3 linked regions of the Tamandua tetradactyla genome follow. The protein of the gene in region 1 interacts with the protein of each later gene in a pairwise test. Links are inferred from orthologs where the notes say so. Each region holds a gene or a part of one and is shown in the gene's direction. Other genes may lie near its edges.

What was found.
Region 2: the proteins of KRT40 (region 1) and DLGAP2 interact in a two-hybrid assay, tested with the Homo sapiens proteins (2 studies listed by BioGRID). The link is inferred for Tamandua tetradactyla from reciprocal best matches to the Homo sapiens genes KRT40 and DLGAP2.
Region 3: the proteins of KRT40 (region 1) and SHFL interact in binary tests that used the Homo sapiens proteins (3 or more experiments, as listed by UniProt). The two-hybrid records come from large-scale screens. The link is inferred for Tamandua tetradactyla from reciprocal best matches to the Homo sapiens genes KRT40 and SHFL.

Annotation. Positions count from the first base shown.
Region 1 is NC_135332.1:26,434,043-26,440,877, forward strand, and holds the start of KRT40 (keratin, type I cytoskeletal 40), read left to right. Parts: upstream 1-2,389; coding exon 2,390-2,836; intron 2,837-3,531; coding exon 3,532-3,614; intron 3,615-3,867; coding exon 3,868-4,024; intron 4,025-4,822; coding exon 4,823-4,984; intron 4,985-5,063; coding exon 5,064-5,189; intron 5,190-6,481; coding exon 6,482-6,702; intron 6,703-6,835. UniProt on the Homo sapiens protein: May play a role in late hair differentiation.
Region 2 is NC_135329.1:41,809,546-41,816,380, reverse strand, and holds the start of DLGAP2 (disks large-associated protein 2), read left to right. Parts: upstream 1-2,794; 5' UTR 2,795-2,957; intron 2,958-6,835.
Region 3 is NC_135337.1:91,633,731-91,640,565, reverse strand, and holds SHFL (shiftless antiviral inhibitor of ribosomal frameshifting protein), read left to right. Parts: upstream 1-2,400; 5' UTR 2,401-2,511; coding exon 2,512-2,532; intron 2,533-3,027; coding exon 3,028-3,151; intron 3,152-3,359; coding exon 3,360-3,409; intron 3,410-4,671; coding exon 4,672-4,710; intron 4,711-4,945; coding exon 4,946-5,095; intron 5,096-5,608; coding exon 5,609-5,712; intron 5,713-5,802; coding exon 5,803-5,957; intron 5,958-6,279; coding exon 6,280-6,515; downstream 6,516-6,835. Other genes in the region: ANGPTL6 (angiopoietin-related protein 6), read right to left, coding at 6,753-6,835.

The DNA of each region.
Region 1 (6,835 bases):
GATATTCAGGCAGCAGTAGGTGAATGTTCTGGGGTAAGAGCATTTTACAAATCAAAATAATTGTGTTTTTATCATGACTTGCCATGACATCTATTTATTTTTCTCCATTCCCAATGTCCCTTCCTCTGAGGATGATATACTATAAAAACAATTCTGGGCAATTTCCTTGTAAGCTAAGAATGATAGCTACAGGCCATCACACAACACTGCATTAACTAATCAAAGCCAAAATAAACAGCCCTTCTTGGTGTTTATATACAATAACAGTAATCAACATTTTGCAAATAGAAATTACGTTGAGACAAAAGGAAATGTCTTACTTTACCTGCGACTTGAAAATAATGACACATTGCTGCATTTTAATTAACTGGATACACTGATGGACAAGCAAGTCCTAGATTCTCTTCCAGGATATTTCTCTTCTGACTCATCAGAGTACTATGGGTTTGTAATTTTTCTTCAGATCATGTTTTTTGTTTCATATATGTAACTTTATTAACACCTACATTTGTATTGTGGCAAAATAAACATAACATCTACCATTTTAAAGTATACAATTCCATGACATTAAGTACATGCACAACCATCACAGATTGTGAATTATCCAGATCACAGATTGTGAATTATCCAGACCAGAACTTTTTCTGCTCTAATAAGGTCTTGAATTTTTTAACTCATCTCATTTTCAGAACAGCATCAAAATATTATGAGGTATATAAGAATTTTCTTTTTTATTTTTATTTCTTTTCTAGTAGTAATGAAAATGTTCTAAATTTGATCATGGGGATGTATGCCCAACTATGTGATTATATCGTAAGCCAGTGATTGAATACTTCAGATGGTTTCTACAGTGTGTAAATATATCTCAATAAAATTGCACTAAAAAATATTATGAGGTACTCTAAGAATGTTTGCATAGGTGTTGAAATGTAAAGAGAATCACTAAAATCAAATACAACTTTGTTCGATGAAGAGTAAGTCCTAACAGACTATTTAAATCCATTATTCACAGTCTCCTGTTTTTGTTTTGTTTTTGTTTTTGCATCATCAGATATCTAGGAAGCAAGATTTAGAGTTAGAAAAAAATGAATTTGTCCTGGATTATGAATTTTTTTTTTCTTATAAGGCTTTTTTCTTGTAAGGATCTCAAAGATTCTGGAGGCAATTTGCTCTGTGTTACCTCTGAAAATGAAAGAAATACCGCAGTTAAAGCCAAGCAAAGTGGGATAGATAAAGCTTCAAAGTGGAGGTGAGATTAAAAAGAGAATCAAAAAAAGTTATATCTCAAGTCCCTATCCCTTAGAGACTCCATCCACGAGGGATTCATCATGAAACCGACAACATAAAATTTTTATTCCCAAGTTCCAGTATTTTTAATTTTCATTAAATTGAGGCCTTTGAAAAAAATAAATAAGAGAAAGCAGATTCCATATCAGAAGAAACGTTTCCTGTAGCTTTCTTGCCCATATTCTAAGCGCAATCATTGAAGATTTCCCAAGCACCTAAAAGATAGTAACTTAGAATTTATATTTCACTCTTATCAGAAGTGCCTAAGTAACCTACAGGTATTTCCAAGGTAAAATAATAATAATAATAGTTCCCCTGATCTAAAAAATGAGACATATAGAATGTACAGAAAAGGCAAGTTCCAACAAATCAAGATTTATAACTTCAGTTCCAGATAATCAATTTATATTTTGGCCTACAGGGCACAAATTATGCCTAACAATTAGGCAATGTGATCTTTCAATTTTCACAGAGAGCGATATGGTTAACACACACACACACACACACGTACACATACACACTTCACACAAGTGCATGCCTCACTTCTCTACCATGCAAGCACGTATGCCAATTCAAGATTGCAAAAAGCATTACAAAAATGGCTAATCACAATGAATATTTTAATATTGGTGGCACAAACAAATAAATGGCATTTAATGAGTTGCAATATTAATTTTAAGAGAGAAACAAATTTTAAATGAACATGATCAAAATCCATTGGAATATTTTCCTTATTTAAATCAGTTACAAATTGGCCAAATTTTCTTTCTTTCCTTATTCTGTCAAAAGGATAGTGCTCCTGTGCAGATTTTCTGCAACCAAGTATTTTATCCTACTAGCACATGGAAACAGTATAAGTTCTGATTTAGTAACCTGAAGTTAACCTTCTTTTATGAGGCATAAAACTCTTCCTCAGTAAATAAACAAGACTAATGAAATGTTCTTAGGAAAACTAGCACAAACAGTGATAAAGAAAACATCTGGTGAGACCTGTAAATACCCATTTTGTGGGGGACATATAAAAGTCTCAGAAAGGAAGGAGACTTCTGGAGTCAGGTCACTTGGGTTTTGCAAATACTGTCTGTTCTTCATCTCTACTAGGATGACTTCTGACCATGCCCCCACTTGCTGCTCTACTGAACCCTGTCCTAGGGCTTCTGATTTTCCATCTGTTTCAACCTGCTCCGTGGAAACAGCTTGTCTCCCCAAGGTCTACTCCACCTCCAGATGCGAGACCCCTGGCTTCCAGTCCAGGTCTCACCTGCCAACCCATTGCTTCAAGCCATATTACTTTGCTGGGAGTCGTAACAGTCCATGCTTGGTGGGGACCTGTGCTTGGTGTGAGGATGGGGTCTTCAATAGCAATGAGAAGGAGACGATGCAGTTCCTGAATGACAGGCTCGCCAGCTATCTGGAGAAGGTGCACGGCCTGGAAGAGGCCAATGCAGAGCTGGAGGGCAGGATCCGAGAGCAGTGTGACCAGGAAATCCCACTGGTGTGTCCTGATTATCAGCGTTACTTCAACACCATTGAAGATCTCCAGCAAAAGGTTTGGTGTTTTGCTGCCCTAATTCCTCTGCCCTCCCAGTGATTTGCTTCATCTTCAGTCTAGAAGAGGCTGTTTGATGAAAGGAAATCAAAGGAGAGGGAAATTCCAAGAGCTAACGTGGAAAGATCTCTGGGCAAAGAGTCAGGAAACCTCAGCACTAGCCCCAGCACTGCCACTAATTAATTAAGTGACCATAATATAGTCACTTAGCTGTAAGCTTAACTGTTATCTTCTATAAAATGAGAAAAAACTGTAGTATGTCTAAAACTACTTCTGTATTTAACACTGTATATTTATATTTAAACAGAATCTTCACTGTCATCTTTTTAATCAAACGATTTCACCTGGTAGCCTTTTTCTTCTCTTACTGATAAATTTCTATTACCATGGATGGGTATATAGTCGTGAGTGACATAGTTCATCAGAAAAGCAGGCTGAAAGCTATACTTTCTTTTTTTTAACATTATTTTTATTGTGAAAAATAACATATATAGAGAAAAGCAATAAATTGAAAGCTATGCTGTCTTAAAGAGATTGTTAAAAGATACATAATTGCATTGATTTTAAATGAATAGTTAATTGAAAGCTATACTGTCTTAAACAGATTGTTAAAAGATACATAATTTCATTGATTTTAAATGAATGGTTAAGTTTCATGCAAATAATCATTTATTACATAATAACTTACTTCCCAGATCTTGTGCACAAAGGCAGAGAATTCCAGACTTGCCGTACAGCTTGACAACTGCAAACTAGCTGCCGATGACTTTAGGTCAAAGTAAGTTTAATTTGAATTTGAAAATTATTTATGGTTTCTCTGTCTCTCCCTCTCTCACACACACACACATTTAGCACAAATATTTTTAAGCTACTAATGCTCACAAACCTGTAATTTATAGTTATTTGGGATATGAAGTAAATGACAGCATGTGGCTCCCTTGAGTTCACGTGTCATTCACCTGTACGCCCACAGGGCTTGCACAGCACCTGGCAGAGTAAGCATTGGATGTGTCCGTCTTTTGTTATGAAAGGTACGAGGCTGAACTGTCTCTTCACCAGCTGGAAGAGACAGACATCGGTGGCCTACGTAGGATCCTGGACGAGCTGACCCTGTGCAAATCTGACCTGGAGGTGCAGGTGGAGTCCCTGAAGGATGATCTCCTTTGCCTTAAGAAAAACCACGAAGAGGTGAGGAAACTGGCAAGGTGGCTGAAAGACTCTGAGAACAACAAAGTTTAAGATTTCATGTTCAAGTATTCAAGTTGAACTTGGGTAGATGTTGCTTAAGCTGGAACAAAATTACCTGAGGGCACTATGGCTATTCAGCCTGATCATTCCAATTTGTGTCTGAATATGGACAGGGAATAGCTCCTGGCCAGTACCATGTGAAGGGTCCAAACTCTCCTCTTGCCATTGCTTTTTGTGGAGGAAGTAAATGACTTTGTAAATGGCTTTCCTTGGAGGCTTCATGCCAACTCCAGTCTACAAAAATCAGGTTGATGAACACAGGCAATGAAATCTATTTCAAAAAGGGGGATAAAGATTCATGCAATATTTGGATCGGTATTTTCAAATGTTCTGCATTTGTCCCTTATTGATGAAGCTGGAAAATGAAAAACTGATGCAACAAAGTACATTTTACCTCTGAACATTTGCTGATGATAATAATAGTTAACATTTATTGAGCTCTTACTATGTGCCAGGGCTTTTATAAGTTCTTTGTATATATAGTAAACGCTCACATATCTCACACTAACACTTTGGAAAAGACAAAATTATTATACCCATATTGCAGATGAAGATAAAAAGGGACTTCTAAGTGGTGAGAAGAGATTCAACCCAGTCGATTTGAAACTAAATCCCACAATTTTAACTACAACTCCAAAAACCAGAAATGGGCTGCCACTGGGAAAGAATTCTGTCAAACTGATTCCTCACCCCCGCCCCATCAGGCGGTGACATTCTCGACTCCATTTCCACTTTCAGGAGGTCAGCTTGCTTGCTGAACAGCTTGGTGACCGACTCAGTGTGGAGCTGGAACCTGCCCCAGCCATTGACCTCAGCAAGGCCCTGGATGAGATGCGCTGTCAGTATGAAGTGGTGCTCGCCAGCAACCGCAGCGATGTGGAAGAATGGTTCGCTGCTCAGGTGGGCACCTGCAGCAGGAGAATGACAGGCTTCCAGACTCTTGCCTTCTTTGTGTTCTTTAATCACCCCTGTGTTTCAGATGGAGGAGGTGAATCAGCAGCAGCTGTCCAGCGCAGAGCAGCTGCAGAGCTGCCAGACGGAGATCCTGGAACTGAAACGCTCGGCAAGCTCTCTGGAGATTGAGCTCCAAGCCCAGGAGAATCTGGTGCGCAAGGGAAAGTCAGCTTCTGTTTTGTCACAAATGAATCAGGCCCTGAGATAGTCCAGGGAGATACTGTCCTCTCTTCCATAACCCAAGGGAGAAACTCACATTCATATAGCAAAAGTTCTGAATTTCCAGTTTGCAGGGTCTACATTTCCTTGCCTTTCCTGAGCATGCTGTCAGCTAGCAGAAGTCACAGGTCAACAGCTTGTCCTGCCCCAGCAGGACGCCTTGGCTAGCATGGTCTTGGGCATGATCGAGCCAGAGTCAGAGAAAGAGGGAGAGGGCAGGAGCAGAGAAGGGTAGGGGACCTATCAGCCAAAGGCACTCAAGAATTCCAAAAGGTTTTAATGCTTTTTTTGATCTGGGCCAATTTTCCATGTGACCCTCATTTCTAAAGCAAAAACAAAAACAAAAAAATGCTTTTCAAGCTTTTATACTTTCAACGCTATCCTAAAGCCCCTAGGATCCATGCCTCCGCCTGACACTTCACTGCACCCCACCCCAACCAAGCAACCTGAATATCAGGCATCCAAGAAATTACATCAGCCAGTTCCGGTCAGGAACCAGGCATACATCATGTTAGGTGTTATGGAGAGTATCCAGGTGAATAATAGCCAAGCGTCAGTCTCACAAGAGCCGCCATGCTGATCTAATCCTTACAATACTTATGGGGTAGATATCTTCACGAACTCCATGACGCAGACGAGAAAAACTGAGTATCAGATTAAGTGACTACAGGGGATCGTACAACTTTAAGAGGCAGATGTAGAAGCTGAACCAGATGGGTAGACCCCGGAGCCTCGTTTCTTAACCACGCTGTAGTGCAGCCCCACCCTGCCAGGAGCACACACTCAACATTTCCTCTCAAAAACACTGGTCATCCTCCTTAAGCTACAGCAGAACGTTGTAGGTTGTGGCTGTCCTAGAGGTGGTGTGACAGCTAATGTGCAGGTTGTAGAACATGGATTTCAGAGAAACCTGGGCGCAAAAAAACAAAACAATGTTAAACTAAGCTTAACAAGGGAGAGCTTGATAAATTGCCCTTAAAACCTTTCCAGGCACTGTTCTAAGTGCTTTACACATACTAACTCATTTAAACCTCACAATCATCCTATGAGCTAAGTACTTTGCATTCTGCATTTTATTTATACTATAATAATATAATTGAGGCTCAGAGAAGCTAAGTAATTTTCCCAAGGTCACATAACTAGAAAAAGGTGGAGCGGAACAGGGATGCTGGGCCTGGAGGCTGGGCTACCCTGTCCTTTTACCCTTTGAATTTTCTACGGCAGACAGACTCTCTGGAATGCACCGCGGCAGAGACCGAGGCCCGCTACAGCACCCAGCTGGCCCGGGTGCAGGGACTGATTGATAACGTGGAGGCCCAGCTGGCCGAAATCCGCGGTGACCTCCAGCGGCAGAACCACGAGTACCACATGCTGCTGGACACTAAAGCCCGGCTGGAGGGCGAGATCGCCACCTACCAGGGCCTCCTAGAAAAGGAGGACCACAGGCAAGTACCACCCAACCAGCCACGAAATCCCCCAGAGTCACCAAGAGGCTGAAAATGAAGGGCTGATGTAGAGAATCCTGCTTTCCCCCATGCGCAGCCGAGGCCAACACTCCCGAATGCGCCAAGGGATCTT
Region 2 (6,835 bases), on another chromosome or scaffold:
CTTTATGAGATCACATTGCCAAGTTCAATCCTACAACAAATGTCATTATGTATAGGTACAATTCAAAATCCTTAAAATGTCCTTAAAACACCTAAATTGTTCTCTAGCCTCATTCCATGCTACTTTCTTCCTTGCTCACTTTGTTCCAGTTATTCTAGCCATTCGGGGGAAAAAGTGCACGAAGTCCTTTCCTCTCCCAGGATCTTCAAACCTGCTCTTCCTTCCACTTGAAGCAGTCTTTCTCCATTCCCACTCCTTTTCCTTTCTTGCTTAAATCTTATTGCTACTTTAGGTCTATACCAGATGCCTGACCTCTGACTTCAACTGCAGCTATGGTGTACAGTTCCTTGCATTTGTCTGCTTCCCACTTCAAGCACCTACTAGGTCTCCAAGATTTTCTGTCTCTCAGCTTTCTCTGAAGCCTTGGAATTTTCTCAACACAGGGGAACAGGGTAGGCAGAGGCCACGGAGGAAGGAGAAATAACTCTCAATCATTGAGACTGTAATTTAGCTGAAAAATGTCCAGCCTTCCAATGCTCAGGCAGGCAGTTCTGAGGTGCATTCTGTACCATTCTTAGAAGATACCCAGCAGGACTGAGCTCCAGTTGCCCACAACAGTAACCAGCTTATTAATGCACACTTTATGAGCTTTCACTCCTTCCCGACTCTGTTTTCCTACTTCAACTCTCCAGTTCCTGGAAATCAACCTCCCAAATAAACTACTTGAACCCAAATCCATGTCTCAGGATCTGCTCATGGGGAACCTAAAGAAAAATAAGGATTTAACTTAAATATGACTTCCTCAAAGAGTTCTTTCCTAATATTGTAAGCTAAAATAATTGTCCTTTTAACATTCTCCACACCACCCTGTACTTTTCTTTTAGAGAAGGATTTGTAAATATATGTCACTTATGCAGTATTTTAAAATGACTCCCTTTTTAGACTGTAAGCTCCATAAGGCCAGTGACTGTTTCTCGGTTTCTATCTTACATAAATATTGAGAGCATATGATAGGCATTCAATACATTTTTGTGGTTGCTGATGTATGAGTGAATAAATAAATTAAAATAAAAAAAGATGGATGGGGACAAGTATGGGGAGGAGGAAAGTAAAGGGATTTACAATTTTAAAAAGTCGTTTCCAGAATTTAGAGTTTTGGTTGAGGTTTGGCACTCACAATTCATCAATCTGTTTCCAAAAGTGGAGATGAATTGAAAGTTGTTTTAAAGAAACACTTGGGAGAAGTTAGATTGTGGTCAAATTCAGCACAAGATTCATCTTTGTATCTCCCAGTATTTGATCTTTGTTTTGAAAATAAATTGCAATTGGTTAATATTTGAGTGTTCATTATATGAAGAAATCTTATACAACAGTGTTTTTCTTTGAAGATCTTGTAACTTTGGAAACGATTGGTTTATCTTGTTTCAAATATCTTTGATCATCTGATTCACTTTCCTACTCTAACCCCTATCCATTATTTTTCTATAAACTCTCACCTAGGTATTTTTACTTTTTTATGGATTCACACCTTGTATCTCATTTAAACTTCACAATAACTCAGAGATATGGAAAATCCATTGTAATATCTGTATTAAAAATTGTGCTAAGAGACTTGCTCAAGATCAGGCGATAGAGCCAGGAACTAAAAAAAATAGGTCTCTGGTTATCACTATATAATAATATATAATTTTCTTTTCTTATCGCTGTCAGATCTTGGAAGCATATTTCCATATATTTAATTAGGCTCTATCAAAATATGTTCAATGTTGCTGAGTTTTCCAGATCACCGCAGGTTATTAACACAACTTCTACTGAATTAATTCTTCCTTTTTCCTTGGCTTGAGTCATCTGTATGAGGCCGATAATCAAAGCAGTAAGGCGGCAGGATTCCATCTGATGGGTGTGTTGTCTTTCAACCCACGTTTATTAAAAAAGAATGAATGCGTATGGAGTTTGGGAATGTCATGGTGTCCTTCTTTCTTGGGAAGACCCCACTTGGAAATACCATGCACTGGAAAGTTCGCACGTGGAAATAGTGGGAGGCTAAGTTTTATTACATTCACAATAGAAGAATGTTATAGCACCTGCAATACCTTTAGAGTGAAATTCCTTTGCAAGTAAATGCCTTCTCCTATGTTTTCAGTGCTCCTCTACGCTCTCGACGAAGTGGGCATCTTGGGTATCGAGCAGACTTTAAAGTATAAATTATTTCCTCATATGAATGCGCCCAGCGTGTCACTTATCTTAGTCCAGAGTAGGATGAATCTTTCCAAGGGCCGAGGTGTACGTTTACAGAATTTTAGAGCTAACTTTCAAAGCGCTTTTAAAATTCGTTAGTGCTTCTAGCGGTTGAATCTGTTCGACCAGCGCTGGTGGCTTCTTCTCGGGAGCCGCCTCTTCCCTCTTCCCTCTCTGTCCCCGAGTGACCCTTCCCGCTTCCTTGTGCAACAGTTGGTTGAATTGGAAGCGCTGCCGCTTTCCATTCGGTAGCTCCGGCAAAAAACTCCTATTTGAACGCTCCTCTGGGGGTTTCCGCGCTAGGACCGGGCATGCTCAGTAGCCCAATCAGGTTGGGGGAGCGAAGCCGCAGCTTTTGCGCTACAGTTTCAAAGCTAGGAGAGCGAATGACTCCGGACCTTCTCTAGATGGAGCCCAGCGCGGGCCGGCCCCCCCAGTGCGCCGGTGCCTCTCCGGGCGCGAGTGTGCGCAGGCGCCGACCGTGAGAACCCGTGCGCGAGGTTCGGAGTGCGGCTTGGACAGCGCGGCGGCAGCGGTAGCGGAGCCGGACGCCGCTCAGCGCCCGCACCGCGGGGTCTCCAGCCCCGAGCCAGCAGCGTTACCTTCCCGCGGCCGCGCGCCGTTTCCCGGCTTACCTGGCTTGAGGGGGTCAGCCACCTCACCATGTCACCTAGAACCTGCTGAAATAGTAATGCCTGAGAATGTCAGCGCTGAGAAAGGTACGAATCTCATTCATCTGGAGGGGCCCTCGGAACCTAGGAAGAGGGGAAATGGGGAGAAAGTAGCCAGGGCTGGGGAGTGCCGTCGAGGCACAAGGAGGTGGTTTGCGCAGCACCCTGGGTTCGATGGTGCTCGGGTCGCCGGCTTCTGGTCACCGTCTTGGGCACGTTGAGAGTTTGCACCGGGAGCAGGCACAGTTTGGTGTAGCTTGGGAGCTGCAAAGTCTCAAGGACTCTTGGAAAACCTATCGTGGCGAGCCTTAGGCGCGGGGAAGTGGGGGCGGTGTGCGGAGGTTCGGGAGGGAGCCGGTGGGCGTCTTTTGCCCCTTCTGGGGGTGGCGGCTCAGGGGCGCCCGGGCTGGATTAGGGATGTGCTGCCCACTCCGCCTCGCACGAACCCTCTGGGACTGGAGTTGAGCCCGGGAGACCCCGGAGCGGCCGGGCAGCGTGGGTCCGCCGATGCCACGCGGGGGGTCTCCTCCGCGGGTCCCAGGAGTCCTGGGCTGCAGGAGCGAGCGCTGCGAGTGTCGGGGAGCAGTAGGACCCCGAAGGGCAGCCTGGCGGCCACCAAGCACCTCGGGAGTCCCTGGGGGAGGAGGGTTTCAGGCCCTGGGGACAGGGGAAGCTTCATTCCGCACCCCCCGTCACGGGTCCAGACTCGATCTGGCTGCGCACGTAGCTGGTGATGGCGCGAGGGTCTCCTGGACCCTGGGCTCCATAGTGTGGAACGAGCCGGACGCAGGGAACCCGGCGCTGCCTGAGGTGTGAAATTCCCAGCTGCGGGGTGGAGGGAACAGGCGAGACCTAGGAACAGCTGGCTAGCGAGGGGGCTTCAAACCGCTGGTGGTAGCTTGGAGGGTATGGGGGTGGGGTGGGGATGGAGGTTAGCAAACTGCATTTCAAATAAAAAAAAAAAAATTCCCTACCCCACACAGATCCGCCCCCCCTTTCCACCCCCTGCTTTCCACATCCTTGCCATTGCTGAGGTGGGAAAACGCCGACGGGAATTGAGAATGAATGAAACGTGCTGGGGGAGCCCAGGCTGCGCGTGTGGTCGTCGTGGGGCGGGGAGGAGGGGGAGACAGGGGGCGATTTCTGCCGGGGTTGCAGCGGTTTCCGCGAGGAGGTGGGGTGGGGTGGGAGGGCGGAGGGGCTGCGCGCGGGTGTGCACGCCTGGAGGGGGTGGCAGCCGCCCCGCTTTCCAAGTGTGTGCGAGGAGCACGGGGGCTTTTTTAAGGATGGTTGCTATGCGAGGTGCTACCCAGTGCAGGATTTTGTAACTAAGCCTCCCCCGGCCGCGGCTGTTGCTGTTCTCCAGGCTTGTTCGCTAACGTTTGCTGGAGAAATAATGAGGATGTAATTATTACAGCCCTGGCACGCTGAGGGGGTGGGGGGCGGCAGGGACCGGCGCGCTGCCTAGCGCGGCCAGGTGTGCCTGCTTTGGGATGAGGGCGTCTCTCCACACCCCCACCCCACCCGTCCTTGCACCGGGCGTGCGGTACTGAGAGGCTTGGAGCAAACTGGACTTGGGGTGCTGAGATGGGGAGGGGCGGACTCTTAAAGACAAGAGTTGAAGGAGATGAGAAGAGGAGCGAAAGGGCAAAGAGCTTTAGAGAGGAGAGCAGAAGAGATTTGCAGGTGGAGAGTGAGGGAAAGAGAATGCGGGGAGAGCGGGGAGTAGAGAACGTGTTGGCTGGTTTATTTGCCATCGGAAACTGAAAAGCATCTACTCTTCCTTTTGGCTCTTCCGCACTTCTTAGGTAATTTTATTCCAGCTGCCTGTATGTTGCGTCTCTGAAATAGAAGGCGATTCAGGCAAAGGCTTCGAATTAGGAATTCGTGATTTATTAGTGGGGGCTTGTCTTGTATTGATTAAAAATCAAGCGATCGGCATTGAATTCAATCTCTGTGTCTTTTAACTCTGCCAGTATGTACTATGGGTGGTTTTAGAGCTCGAAATGTAAAGCACAACTGCTTTTTTCCCCCCTCCTCTGTCATTTCGGGTCTTAGAGGTAGGCGAAACCCACGATTAGGCACTTAAGAAGTGGACTTCCTTGAGGAAATACTTCCTTGGTGGCCTTCATACAGCTCCCCCTGTATCACAGTGGAACTGTATATCTGATTTCTTAGACTATGATTTAAAAAACACTTATTTGTAGGTGGCGAATTAATTATATTTGTGATTAGAAAATAATTTAACATCTCAACATAGCTTGAAGGAGTACACATTTGTAAGGACTCTTTCACATGTCTCAAAGCTGACATAATTCTGAGAAACTCTTTCCCTGACTGGAAAGAACAACAGTTAGATTTGAAGTTAAAATACATTACAACACAATTTTCATTTCTTCCTTCATATTCTCCTTGAAAGGTAATAGATAACCAAGGCAAACATGGTGAAAATAAATGGCAGTTTTGGCAGGTCAAGTTGTTACTCTGGTGTTTAAAAAAAATGTCATTAATCAGGATTTTCCAGTAGCCAAATTGTCTTGTGCAGGCAGCTGGGTGACTCACAGCTCTGGCTGTAATAGTAATTGTAGAGTGTGTACCATTTCCTTTTAGATGGTGTGACTTTTTCATTGCTTGGAAGAGAACAAATTAGAATATTTTATACCCCATATCTGGCAACATGGCTAGCAGACTGTAGGGAATGCTGTCTGTTCAAGCACATCTGGGCTATGAGAATTATGGACCTAATGAAAGAAAATAGTCATACCCTAAATTACACTATTCTTTCTACCATCACTTCAGACATCTCATCAAATGTCTTGAGCTCAGTAAATGTGAGTTTTATTGCTCAATGATAACCTACTAAGGGAGTCGTACTTTGCATCTGTCTGTAAACCATACCTTCTTTTTATTAACACGTTCATATATTCCTCTATATTCTTAAGAAATCAAGCATTGAATGACTTACTCTATTAACCTATCATTCAAATTTATATTGTTACATTTTTAAATTAAAGAGTAGGCTTAGTATGCAAAATGAGTACTGCATCAAATAATTCAGTGTTGTAATGATTAAATTAAAGTTTTCTGACAATGAAGTTAATTTTCTTTATACACATTCTATGTCAACTTTTAATATTGTCACACATTTATTTCCCTTTCTTCCAAAAAGACTTTTTACTTATAGTGCAATTGTTTTAAAAATGTAGTACTGCTTGAGCCAGAAATAAACACATAATTACTAAGTATCCTTGTATGTCTTAGGCTACTTGTGATTTAGATTGATTACTAACAATAGTTCTTTTTCATTTTTATAGAATTCAGATTACATTGCACTATTTCTCCTCAATGACTTAAATATAAGCTCTATGGCAATCTATTGCTTTTCCTTCTTTTGGTTTCTATGTCATTTTTGAAATTGGTAGAAATTCTGAATTAAATATTAAAAGCAAAAGTACTTCACGGAATTTAAATCACATTGGATTTCATGTGCTCAGAACATGACCAATTCTGAAACTAAAGAGTTCTTATATTATTTTCATCGTTAGAGGATTTATTTAAATTTTTAACAGATTATCTTCCATAATGTATCTACATGATCAAATTGAAGAAATGCTATAACTCTTTTTTGGCTATATTTGAGAAAACAAATTTGTGAATTTCACAGTTGTCCAAGCAGTTGAATGATGCACACTTTGGTTCTATATTTTAAAAGGAAATTAATTAAATGCATTATTTATTGGCTCTTGGAATGGATATCTATGGTCATTCATTGATTACAATAAAAATATGATTCATCATTTTGGCCAAATGGAACCCTTATTTAGAGCATTGACACAGTGTTCATTATAAAAGAATTAAAGACAACCGAACAAGAAATTAGAGGACAAAACATTCTATGCAGTTAAAAATTATGCTAAACCAGAGTT
Region 3 (6,835 bases), on another chromosome or scaffold:
CTTAAGCATTCCTTAATTTTTTTAGTAGTAGTTTATAGTTTTCAGTATACAAATATTTTGTATCCTTAGTTAAATTTATTTCTAGATAGTTTATTTATTTAGATGCTATTATAAATGGAATTGTTTTCTTAATTTCCTCTTCAGATTGTTCCTTACCTGCATATAGGAACACAATTGCTTTTTGTATGTTGATCTTATATCCTCTCACTTTGTTGAATTCATTCATCAGCTCTAATAGTTTTTTTGTGGATTCCTTTAGGGTTTCTGTATATAAGATTATGTCTGCAAGTAAAGTTGATTTTACTTATTCTTTTCAAAAAAAAAAAACTGTATCAGATAAATGTTTGTTGTTTTAAGACACCAAACTTGGGGGTCATTTGTTACGCAGCAATGAAAACTAACACAACTGATAACGACAGGCCCATGCTCCCACCTCAGGGCCTTTGCACTTGCTGTTCCCCCATCTAGAACTTTCTCCTCCCAGATATCCGCATAGCTCCTTCCCTCCCTTCCTTCAGGTCTCCCCTCAAATGTCACTTCCTGTGACCCTCCCCCACCCCCCATTTCTACATTTCCCCATCCTCTTATTCCAGCTCCTTTTTCAGTTTAGGATTTATCACCCCCCTTCATATTATGTATTTGTGTCTTGCCTGTCCCCCGCCCTGGAACACCAACTCCAGAAGGGCCAGGATCTTTGTTTTCTTCACTGCTGTATCTACCATGCCTGGAACAGCATCTAGGAACAGAATAGGTGCTCAAAGTCACGGCTGTCTTTCTTAGAATCTAGCAGACCTGATTTGAGCCAGGCCTGGATCAGACCCTGTTTCCTGCCCACCCAGTACCCACCCTGCTCAGGGGATGGGACACGGCTGTGACCTTACCCTCCACCGAGACAGATTACTAATTGGTAACTCTGACGGGAGAAGTCCATGGGTCTCAGGGTCCATCCTCACTTCCCACTACCCTCAGGATAAAGTCCCAGTACAACTACAGGCGCCTCTCTTCACCTGAAATCCCACCCTCCAGCCACAAAGACCATGAACTGCTTGCACTTCACTTACAGAAGCCTGCAAAGTGGGGGTGCACCACCCCACAAACCAACCTTCGGGGCTCACGTAGAATACATTAGAACACCCCAATCTTTTAATCACCGCTTTTTGTTTTCCAATCTGCAGAATCTATTGGTAGAGTTGTATTTGCATGTAATTTATAAATAAAGAAACTTTCATATGGGGCTCAGTTTCAGCATTTTTACTGATTGGGGTGCAGAAAATTGAAGGAAAAAAAATGTTGGCATCTTTTACCCTAAAGCAATTCACCCACCCCACCCAAGGGACACTCGAGGATTTCTGTAGTCATTTGGGTTGACCGGGGTTCGGGGGGGCTTCTGGCATCTAGTTAGTAGAGACGAAGGATGCTGCTAAACATCCTACAAAGCACAGGGCATCACCGCTCCCCCCCCCCCAAGAACTATCTAGAACAAAATGTTAGTGTCCTGGCAGAGAAACTGCCTTAAAGCGCCAGGTTCTCAACTGCTTCTCTCAATTGTAACAGAGGCCCAGAGCCCCAACGAAGACCTCAAACTTCACGGACTCTGTACCAGCACCTCCTCCTCCAAGCAGCTATCTTTGGGGGGCCCTGGGCTGGGCTGGGCCGGTGCCTCTCCTTAGGGCTCCTTCGGCTCCAGGTGCAGGGTTAGAATCCTCCCGGCTCACAGGTTTCCCAACCTCCAGAGTGACAATGGAGATTCCCCAGAGTCCTTTCCCCCACCAGCGGGCTGTAGAACCGAGCACTTGAATTTTTAACAAGCACCCCCCCACCCCCTCCTCCGAGCCCCGAGCGCTTAGTCGGGTGACCATTTGAGGACCTGGCACCTGCGAGGCGCTGCCCAGTGCCCTAACTCAGGCCCTCGAGGCCCGACCTCCCGCTTTGCCCGCCCCCAGGATGTAGCCACTGTCAGCGCCCCCATTTTACAGAGGGGTAAACTGAGGTGGCGAGGAGGGCTCCGGCCAGCTCAGAGGCTCAGAACGGAAAGGGGATCCCAAGGCCTGGTTCCTCGGCGGGGAAGGGGAGACGGGGCGCAGCGGGGGCGGGGGGGCTCGGGGGCCCCGCCACGGCCCGGCGATGCGGCCCCGCCCCCACGAGGGACGTGAAGACGCGGAGCCCGCGCCGCGTGGGCACATGTGACCGACTGCAGAGGCCGCACCGGCCCCCTCCCCGCCCCGGGTTCGCGCGCTCCGCCGCAGGGCGCGGGTCCAGGGCGCCCGCCCGGGTTTGGGGCGCACGAGCCGGGGCGGAGCCAAGGAAGAGCCCAGGTGCCTCATTTCCTCTCCTACCTCCCCAAAGCCCAGAGAAACGAAAGCGAAAGAGGGGTTCAGGGAAGAAGGGCGGGGCCGGCCCCCAGGCCCCGCCCCGCCCTGCGCGGCATCCGGACCGCCGAGCGCAGCCAGGAACGGGGGACTGCCGAGCCGCGCAGCGCCGACCCTCGGGGAGCCCCGCGCCGCCGCCGCCATGTCCCAGGAAGGTGTGGAGGTAGGAGACGGCCACGGCTGCCCCGGGGGACCCGGAGAGTCGCCGGGGGGAGGAGCCGGGGCGCGCGGCGGGCTTCGCAGTTTCCCGGGGAACCCCCCCCCCCCCCCCGCTCCATCCTGAACCCAGACCTTCCCCCCCGGGCTGGCCCTCGCTCCCCCCTCAGGAAGGAGAGTGACCGCCGCGCCTCACCCCGGGGTCAAGCGGGGGCTGCAGGGTCAGGGGTCAGAGTTCAGAGCCAGGGACTCCCTGGCCAGCATCCCTCCTAAACCCGGGACGCCGCTCCTCGCCCTCCCCTGCCCCCAGTGCCCTGTAGGGACTTTGGATTTTTCCAGGAAGTGCGTGGAAGGAGGGGGAGGCTGGGGGGGGGCGGCCAGGCCAAAAGCAAGGGTCAAGTTCAGGGCGGGAGAGCGCTGCCTAGGGTTGGTGGAGGGGCGAGCGCCCCTCGCCTCCCCCAACGCAGCCTCCCCCACCCTCACCCCCGTGCCCCACTCCAAGCTGGAGAAGAGCTCCCGGCGCCTGCGGGAGAAGTTTCATGGGAAGGTCTCCTCCGAGAGGGCGGGGGCTCTGATGCGGAAATACGACAGCGACCACACCGGTGTGGGGCGCTCCATCGTGTACGGTGAGGGGGCTGGGGGGGGGGCTGGGTGATGTGGAGGAAGCGCCGAGAGGGACCTGGCCTGACTGAGGGAGGGAAGAGGCGTTGAGATCACCTGCTGGGGGCCCCAGCCTTGGGGAGGGTCTGTGCTGCAGGGGGTCTGGGGGAGGGTGGCCTAAAACATCCCCAGACTCTTCAAGGGCCCTTCACTTACACCTGCTGTCTCCACCAGAGGTGAAGCAGAAAGACGGAAAGGAACTAAGCAGTGACCTGGAGACCCAGGTAATCTGCTCCCTCCCTTCAGAGGCGGGGATAATGGGGGCGGGGAGGGCAGAGGGACCAGCCCAGCCACCCAGAGCTCCCCCCCTCCAAAGCAGAAGGAACTGGGCACTGCCAGTCCACAACTCGTGGTCCAAATTTATTTGCTTATTTACCTCTGTATTTGTGTCCGGCCAGGGAGTTGGCAAACAGCAGGCGCTCGATATGTGCGGATTGGATTAAAACGGGGAGGCAGTGACAGGAGCCAGAATTAATGCCATCCTGGGGTGGGGGGTTGTGAGAAGTCAGGGAAGGCTTCCTGGAGGAGGTGATGCCCCGTCTTAAAGGATGGCAAGCAGTGAGCCCTGCAAAGAGGAGGGGACGGATCGCGTCCGGAAAGAAGGATGGTGTGAGAAAGGAAACTGAGAGGGGCATTCATTCCTGGAAAGACTGGGGTGAGCAGGAGATGGGGGAGGTGAGGCGGCCGGGGAGCTCGTGTTTTGAATGAATGAATGGATGGATGGATGGATGAAAGGCTTTGAAGCACGCAGCTGCTTTGCCTTTTCGAAACAGGGCTTTGGTGGTTGGTAGACTGGATTTTACCAGCCTAAAAGGCACAGCGTAGAGTCATAAACCTGTAATAAAAACCAGGCACCGGGATTAGCACTTCCCATGTGGCAGGGCTGGAGGAATCTTACATGTGTTGATTTATTTCAGCCTCACAGCGGAGCCCAGGAGTTAGGTTCTATTACTTATTGTTCCCATTTCACAAACAAGGAAACTGAGGTCCAGAGTGATGACGTCAGTTGCCAGGCAGATGGGCGAGTGGGTGGCAGCTGGGATTCGAACCCTGCCCACCTGGAGGCAGAGTCTGAGCTCTGAGATGCAACTTAAGGAACCACGGCCCGCAGCTGGAAGTGGTGGAGCCGGGATTCGAACCTGCGGCTCTGGGAATCCCGGGCTTTGCAAGGCTGCTGCAAGGAGGGGGACCTGTCTCCGGGCCAGCCAGGGTGTGGCTGGGGAGGCGGCACTCACAGTGGAAGATGGTGTTGGTGGGCAGGGTGGGAGCGCGGGGTCTCTAGTTCTTGGCCTCAGTTTCTCCATCTGAGCCATGGGGATAACAGGTGTGCACACCTCTAACTAATGGAGGTGCAAGTGGATGTTGCTCGTCGTGAGTCGGGGGCACCCCCATCTTCATGCTGGGCTGGGGCCCTCCTCCCCCGCCTTCCCCCACCACCCCTGCTCCGGGAACCCCAATTGTAGGAGCTCCTCATTTCTCTACCCAGGACCCCCCTGAGGACATGAAGCAGGACCAGGACATTAAGGTGAGTCGGCACCTGGCGCAGGTCTTGGGGGGGATGTGTGGGGGCACCCATGGCGGACGAGGCGGAGGGGGGCCCTGGGGAGGGGTGGAGGAGCAGCCTCTGCTGTGAGGAGGTGTCTGGGGGAAGGAGGAGTGAAGTCGGTCACGAGGGCAGAAGACAGTGGTCAGGGGAGGGGTGACCCCTGCAGAGGGAGGAGAGGTGACCCCCCCGCCTCCGTCCCCCCCCAATTCCGCAGGAGGTGGCGACGTCCCTGCTGCCGCTGACGGTAGCCAACCTGCGCATGTTCCAGCGGGCGCAGGAGGACCTCATCCCGGCCGTGGACCACCAGTTCGCCTGCTCCAGCTGCGACCATGTCTGGTGGCGTCGCGTGCCCGAGCGCAAGCAGGTGAGACCCGGACTCGCGACCTTGACTCGCTCCCGAACTTGGCTCCCGGCCCCCATCCTCGGCGCCTGGCCCTCTGACCCGAGGACATCCATGTCGGAGAGCCTGGCTCCTGACCCCTGACCCCTGACCCCTGACCTCCAAGGTCCACCTCGGCCCTAAATCACTAACCCGGAGCTGGACTTATGAGCTTTTAATTGGAGAAGCCCCAGAGCCTGAACCCCGAATTGCACAGTTGGAGGCTGCGCCCCGCCCCCTCCCCCCCCCCCCCCCCCCCCCGCAAATCAAGCTTTACCCCAAAACCACAACCCCACATCTGACCTCTGGGCCCCCTGACAATTTAAGCCACAAAAGCTTAAGGATGGACCTCTGGAGAGAGGAGCCCTGATCTGTAAGGCTGGTCTGTCTCCCTGGTATAACTACTCCCCTTGTGGCCAGTTCGGGCCCAGCTCGGGACCCCGCCTGGGTGACAGCCAGCCCGCTCCCCACGCCCCCCCGCCCCCCCCCCCCCCCCAGCTGTCCCGGTGCAAGAAATGCAAGAAGCGCTACAAGCCGGTGCCGGAGGACAAGATGTGGGGCCTGGCCGAGTTCCACTGCCCCAAGTGCCGGCACAACTTCCGGTGAGGGTGCCGCCCCCCCCCGCCCTGTTCCCCCCCAGCCCCGCCCCCCGCCCCGTGGCCCCCTGACCCTCACAGCCCTGCCACCCCCAGGGGCTGGGCACAGATGGGGTCCCCGTCGCCCTGCTACGGGTGCGGCTTCCCCGTGTATCCGACGCGGATTCTCCCCCCACGTTGGGACCGGGACATGGTGCGCCGTAGCAGCCACACGCATTCCTGCTCGGCGGCCGATTGCTACAACCGGCGAGGTGAGGGCCTGGCGCCTTCTGTGGCCTCCCTCCCTTCCCCCCACCCCACCAGGGCCAGCTCAGCGGCGGGGGCACCCCCCCCCCGTGATGTCCCCCCGCCCCCACTGTGGCTCTCAGCGCTGGGGTCTCCACCTGTTGCTTCCTCCTCTCTCCCCAGGTCCCGGGGTCCGGGGCTTCCACCCCTCCCACCGCCCGCCTCTCGGGGTCTCACTGGGAGGCCCCGTGGTGGCACAGAGTGGCCCACTGTCCCCATGGCCTCTGTGCCCCTGTCCCCTGGGTCTCTTCGGACCCCCATGGGGCCTCATCACCTCTCCCTCCCCAGAGCCCCACATGCCCGGGACATCCTGCGCGCACCCCAAGAGCCGGAAGCAAAACCGCCTCCCCAAGGTCCTCTACCCCAGCGACCCCCACATCAGCAGTGGCTCCACAGTGGCCACGTGCCTGAGCCAGGGGAGTCTCCTGGAGGACCTGGACAGCATCATCCTGGAGGACCTGGAAGAGGAGGAAGAGGAGGAAGGGCAGGGAGAGGAGGAGGAGAAGGGCGGGCACGGGGCGTGAGCCCTGGCCAGTGCAGACAGCAAACCAGACACGTTCTGTGGCCACTTTGTGTTGTCATAAAATTTGAGCTCAAATTGAGATATAAAGTGCCCTTGGGTCTGAGAGGTTGATGGGGGTGAGGATGGGGATTTTGGGGTCCTGTTTTGCAGGGCTTTGAGTAAGAGGTCCCCAGGACACGGCTATGTTGAGCCACCAAAGAGGGATGGCCAGGACAGCTTTGGGGACAGGTGGACACAGTCATGACCTCAGCGGCCGGATCAGCATGGCAGCTTTCTTGAGAGAGTATGCCCCACCACGAAACTCCGCCCAGTAGACACCGT